2 linked regions of the Coturnix japonica genome follow. The protein of the gene in region 2 interacts with the protein of the main gene of each other region in a biochemical or structural test. Links are inferred from orthologs where the notes say so. Each region holds a gene or a part of one and is shown on either strand. Other genes may lie near its edges.

The links.
Region 1: the proteins of PARD3 (region 2) and JAM2 form a complex in vitro, tested with the Homo sapiens proteins (2 studies listed by BioGRID and IntAct, with this or other methods). The link is inferred for Coturnix japonica from reciprocal best matches to the Homo sapiens genes PARD3 and JAM2.

What each region holds. Positions count from the first base shown.
Region 1 is NC_029516.1:92,177,865-92,180,856, reverse strand, and holds part of JAM2 (junctional adhesion molecule B), read right to left. Parts: intron 2,713-2,992; coding exon 2,507-2,712; intron 1,402-2,506; coding exon 1,299-1,401; intron 576-1,298; coding exon 468-575; intron 1-467. UniProt on the Homo sapiens protein: Junctional adhesion protein that mediates heterotypic cell-cell interactions with its cognate receptor JAM3 to regulate different cellular processes. Plays a role in homing and mobilization of hematopoietic stem and progenitor cells within the bone marrow.
Region 2 is NC_029517.1:12,117,992-12,121,646, reverse strand, and holds part of PARD3 (partitioning defective 3 homolog), read right to left. Parts: intron 2,763-3,655; coding exon 2,535-2,762; intron 1-2,534. UniProt on the Homo sapiens protein: Adapter protein involved in asymmetrical cell division and cell polarization processes. Seems to play a central role in the formation of epithelial tight junctions. Targets the phosphatase PTEN to cell junctions.

The DNA of each region.
Region 1 (2,992 bases), on a different chromosome or scaffold from region 2:
TGAGGTTTTTTCCCAGTAATCCTCGAGTGTTTCACTATGTGCTCTTTCACCACAAACCAGAAGAGGGAGCAAGTCAGTTAGTTCTCCTTCATCAGAACTCAGCTGCTCCAAATATCATGGATTACAAGTAACCTCATACGCCTTGTTTTTTGCAGTACCTTTCTTTCCCATTCCCTCTCAAAACTACAGCAGAATCTCAAGAAGCCAGGGTTCTGCTTGCTGCTTTTCCTAGATTGCTGTCTGCGAGCCTTATGCAACTGTACAAATGCCTCCATCTCACAAAGTAGAAGCTGCGTTCTCTGCAGTAGAAGGCTGAATAAAAACGCACAGTGAAGTTGCTGTTGTAATAATCTTTAGCTGTAGTGCCGTGGAAGTGAAGTGTGAGAAGTACATGTTATGGTCAGCAGAAATATAGTTTAGTTTTGTTGTTTTTTAAACCGAAGAAAGAGTGATTTTACTGTACTTACTTGTAAAATACCCTTTTTTTTGAGCATAAAGTACTATAAGGCCACACAGTGCCATTAGCAGAGCCACAATTACTACAGCAGCGACGATACCACTTACATTAAGGTCATCTGTAATTATAAAAGATAAATACAATGTTTTAAGTTTTAAAAATATCCATTAGATGGAATTCTTTTCCCCTAATTCCTACAGGTACCTTTTCAAAACAATAACAAAGCCATCAATAAGCAGAAACATTTTGATTGATCTTTCTGTTACCTAATCTTTGTTATATTATCATTATGTAGAAGGCCGATTACTTATTTGGATCCTGAGTACAAGACATTAATACACTGATGTAAATTTTACCCAAAGGTTTTTGCTGTTGACATCTCAAAGTCCTGTGAGGCTATTAGTTAAAGAAGAAAGAAAAAAATAAAACCATAAAGCTACACAGATAAACTAACAGCGGGCTGGTACATTATGCTGTACAACACCCACAAAAGCATTCTGAAGCATGAAGCTTCTCAGATGGACACTGTGGTTCTGTGACATTCACTGCTGAACAACATTAAGGGCTGGATACTGCAATCATTTTAAAGTACCCAACTAACTGCTTTTCTGTAAAATACAGTGCGACACATACACACACACAAGGAAAAGAAATAAGGAATGCTTTAAGCAGCCACCCTCACTACATATAAGGTTCCCTAATATATGAATATTATTCCTCCCCCATAATACTGTAATCAAATAAAAGGCTGTAATTCAATCTTAGTTTCTCAACTGTATCGCACAATGAAATCAGTTCAGATGCAAGACCGTTTTCTGTCCCTTTTTATTCTGACACATACCCACTTGCATTCGCTTCATGGAGCATTTCTGAGGCAATCCAATCCCATTTGAGGCTACACAGAAATACTCTCCAGTGTCGTTCTTTGAAACAGCGTTAAATGTCTGTTAAGACAAGAGACCAAAGCTGTTACCAGAATGGGAAAACAAAAACAAAAACCCAATTTCCTGCAGTATAGAAATTTTGACATATCTTTTTTCCAAAAAATCTGAAATAAAATGAGAACTTCTGCTCTCATGTTCATCTCGATCCTGCTCCCTACTCATACGCTTAGATCTTAACTTCAACTACTTGTACACGAGGGTCTTCTAGATAGGCATTTTTACTAAATGGAGTGTACAAAATGTAGTACAAAAGATACATCCCAAGGATTTTTTTCCCCCCACAGAAATGTTACTTTCTCCATTATTCTAATGGAGAAACGCTTAGCTGCATTATTTATGAAATACTTCTAATGTAATAAGTACAGCGAGAAAACAGAAAATGGATGCTGACCTCATAACACTTTTTGTGTTTCTCTGTAATTATTTTTATAATCAGATTTGTTAAATGTTCTCCGTTTAATGTATCCTATACACCAAAACTATGACTTTTAAGAAGAGATTAATGTTTCTAAGTAGCTCACGGTGTGCTGAAATATCTATGGCACCCGTGAATGTAAAGGCACAAATGATGTGACACAATTTGGTTTCCAAATGTGAGCAGAGTGTCCCTAAAATTGACTCTTCTAAAAAGAAATAAATAAGATCTCAGCTTAGCAGTATGTGATCAAGTACAGGGCTGGAACCTTTAAATGCCACTGCAGAGATTCTGGACTGCTGCATTTTCCACTGAAGTGTGTTAAGTTGCTGTTTTCGATTTTAAGGCACTATCAAATACAACTTGGTTGACATACTGTGAGATCGTTCCCACCTGGAGCTGGCTGGAGAACCAACTAGGTGAAATTTGTCATTTATTTGCTAGATTCTTCTCATTTATAACTACTACAGCCTTATAAATCACCCACTTTGCCTACCACACTCGACCTCTATGATTTGTCATTGGTCTGAGGCAGAAACCGTACCCTATAAATTTGTTATCACATTTCAGTGTGACATTGATTTCTGAGAGAGGCCTTGTGCCTTGGATTAAAGCCACAGTGCGTTTCTGTGCTGTACAGAAATTTGGTTTTCTCTATGGCTGCTTGTTACAGTTGGTTACTGTGCTTACCAGAGTGCCAGACTTTTTATTCATGGTGTAAGTTATGTCGGCTGTTCTAGCAGTGCCCGTTCCTGTCTTTTCCAGTAAGGCAACACCATTCTTGTACCACTGGTACTCAGATGGAGGAGACCCCTCAGCTTCCTTGCAGCTCAGCTCCACTACTGTTCCTGTCATTGCAGAGGTGGGTACCACACATACTGGAGTAGTGGGAGGAACTGGAAAACAAAATCGTACTTGTTACACAGTCTTATCAGTATTGTCTACCCCACAACTGTTTGACAGTCACTGAGGAGGTGAACACTTGTGTACGTGCTCAACAGCTACCACATTAATAAATAGGGGCTCTGGAGACATGGTGGATGGCAGAGTTCTGCTACTGAGGAGCACTTTAAGGTCTGTAAGCTGACAAAAACAGTGAAGGCAGAGGTTTGCTCCTAGGGTCCCTCACCATGTGCACCATACTCATTTTTCTATCCTTTCCCCAAGTGGGAAAAA
Region 2 (3,655 bases):
TTTTCTTTGCAAAGACAGTAAGTTAATTTAGAAGAGCCGGCCCCTCTGCCACACATACTACCTATGTTTTATGGCTTTCTTATTTGGGGTAATGACATGTTACGAATTCCTCTATAAAATATATTGCAGCGCAGAGTCTGGAAAAGAAAAGCACTCTCAGCACAGAAACATTTGGAGAAGAAAGGGAAAACATATCAAGAAAGACAAATGATTCCAACCTCAAGGGTATCAGCAAATTGACCACCAACTTGTTTGCTTGAATTTTATAATACAAGAAAGCCACATTTTAATTTCAAACAATTATGAAATAATTAAATACAATTAAAAGAGAATTATGCCATGTCATTATGGCAGCAGCGAGCCATTAGGCCAGTACCAGATTGTTAAATAAACTTCCACGTATTCAAAGGCACACAGACTTTTTCCAGCTGCAGACATCACTTGGCAAATTCTCTGGAATTTACAAAAAATTTACACGAAGTTGGGAAGACTGCAGTTGTTTTTTGTTTTGTTTTGTTTTGTTTTGTTTTGTTTTGTTTTACAGATACACACATGTTTCTAGAAAGACAGACCTCAGGATTTAGCATTCTGAGCTGATCCCATGCCCCATATGTCTGGATTAGCTATTAAGCTCTCTTGGCCACCATAAGAAGGGGAAGACCAAAAGGGTCTTCAACAATGTTCACTGAACTGAATTCTGTTCAATGAACTTACTACAGCTGCTTTACTACGCATCTCTTTCTATTACAATTGCAGTGACTTGCAGTGTAACTTTCGGTATTACTTTGTAGATGCTTTACTGTAATACATGGAAGCTATTTGGCCCCACAGCTTCAACAGAACCTGCAGTTCCATGGATATATCTTGGTCATACTTCCTGAAGGCCTACCTTAGCAGGTAAGATTTAAAAACAATCTTGCTCTTGATCTCCTATGACAGTGAGATGGCTCCTGGTCCATCAGTGCTAGACTTCATCCATACAAAGATGAGGATGAAGACTCACCACACAGCATTTCACTTATAGACTGAATTTTTTTCTGGTTTCCATAACTTCCAGGCAAAGAATACAAAGACTACCAAATATTTTCTTTCTGCTTTCTATGTGTTGCATCAATAAACTCAAAACATCTTATGTGAGCCTATATTCACATAGAATACACTTTTTCAAAACAGTTTTGCTGTAATTTTTGTGAAACAAAGTTAAATCATCTGTAACTTCTGGGTAAGCCCTGTATATCTCATACCTCAAAACAAGTTATCTCCATCAGTTGGCTCACACCATATAAGGGTTTTTAGGAAAATGGGACCATACATTCCAGAAGACCATACACACACAGTCTGGGAGGATGACCAGGACCATTACACTTCTTCTCATTCCTGTTCTCTTGCTGGTCAAAAACAGAATGACAGCCAGCAGCACCAGACCAGCTTTTAGCCTCATTGCTTCATGAAATTGCTAGGTATGGTAAAAGCGAAGCAGAATTAATTCTGCCTGTAACTATATTTGAGAAAAGTGACTGGCAGAATGACCGCCCTTTCAGTCTCAGAACACTTTTAGTAACAGATTAAAAGAAAAACAACCAAAGCGCGTTCAAAAATATAAAAGGAGTAAGCTTGCAATGGAATATTACGGATTGGCACTTCAGAAACTAACATTTTAAAACTAGCAGAGAGTGGAAAGTTTTTTTCAAGGCTTTTCTGCAAGTATTCAAGCTAAATATTTTACCATTTCAGCTTTCCAAGCGTCTTCTCCATTCATAAACTTTTAACTAGCTACAGGTCGATTAAAAAAAATTCTGCGGGTGTGTGTGACAAGTTGAAACTAATACAACATGAAGGTTAAAAATTCCATAATTTTAATACAACCTCTGATTGAGATAATTTACCATTCACACTATTTTTATTCAATATAAGTTGTCATTTTCCCGGCCCATTCTTACACAGTTCAATAATGATAAGGTTAGCTTTGAAGTGATTCTTTTATGTTAATGACATTCTCCACATGTTGGGTCATACTTCGGGTTAAAGAACTGAAAATGTAAATGAATGCCCATTAGGGTGGGTAATAGCTGATCATTAACTTTATATTTTATTAGATCTGCCAGCCTTACTCATTCTAATTAAAGGACAGTGATTTCTTTTTTTTCCCCAGACACTACAAATGTACCCTTTCAAAGTTAGATGCACATATTTTTGTAACATTAATTCAGTGGGGTTTTTTTAGTTTCTGTGCAATTTTTTTTTTCTAATTTACATCAGTAAATTAATTAGCTGCCTTACAGAAAATTTTCATAATAATTTAAGTAAACACACTCCTAATAATCTTATTTCCTTATTTTAGGAAGGAAGGAAGCTGCAGAGTGTTGCAATCTGCTTAATGCATATGAAGGGCAAAAGCCTGAAACAAATCCAGGAAGAGATACTAGTTCTATTCTTTTAAAATCTTAAAATTATCTTCTATCACTTCTAATTACCTTCTAAAGGAATTGACTGATACTGCTAACATTCATTATGTACAACAATAGCCTACTTACAAGTTTCCATGCCTTCGTCATCATCATCTGCTACAGGTTTATCATAAGATTTGTCTATGGCAGCTCTGAAGCTTTCATTGCAGCCTCGTCCTCGGATAATTCGTGGGCGGGGGCGGTGGAAAGGAATATCACCATTGAGAGTCACCTCAGCAACGGCTGTCTGCAGACTTTCTAATGAGCTGGATTTCTTCAGACCTAATGAAGGCCCTACATCTCTGGTCGGGGAACCTTAGTGATTTAGGGAAGAAAAAAAAAGTAATTAGAATTAGTGTAGAGAACTGCATGCTTGATTATGCATATCCATCGTGAAAGTCTTTGGGGACACACTTAACATTATTCACATCATCTCTCAATAATCTGCATGGAATTCTCAGCAGATTTGTTGGTCTCAGAAGTGAATGAGTATGTCAAGTTACAGTCAATGAAACCGACAACGTTAGCAAGGTCTGGCTTTTCAAATCAGTGAAAAGATACCAACACCCATCGCTATTATTTCAACAATCTGAATGATAAAAGTAAGCTCAGGGCTTTAAACGCATCTCAAAAAAACAGCAGAGATACAAATCTTACAGTATCAAACAAACTTAATAAGTTTTTCTTTAGAGCAGAAAATTTCATTTCTAATAGCAACTGATAAACAGAGAGCATATTCTGGTAATGAATCCTATCGTGTTTAGAGTGACCTTCTGGTAAAGTACTACGACTTCTAGCTTCAAGGAATATGCTTAGTTTAAACTGACTTTTAAAGGCTTGCATCAAAATGCTAACACTTCCATAACTAAATATTTCTGAGAAATATCACTTGGTTTGGTGGGATTTTGTGAATTTGTTTATAAAAATCTATGGCAAAGCCCCAGTTAATCCAGCAGTACCACAGCACTACACTTCTAGGCTCTGTTTTTGGATACACAGTTTTAGTGAAAATCAGCTGACAGTTGCACAATTCGATGTCATAGTTAAAACTGGGAGAGATCTATCAGAAAAAAGAATTCACTGAACTTTGAATCATATTCTTAAAAGGTTCAGAATACTCTTGGCTAGCTTTTGCATAGGACTTGTGCCTGGAGAGAAAGATGAGGTGTAATGAAAGCAGGAAGAGGGATGCTGGACATACAGAACAG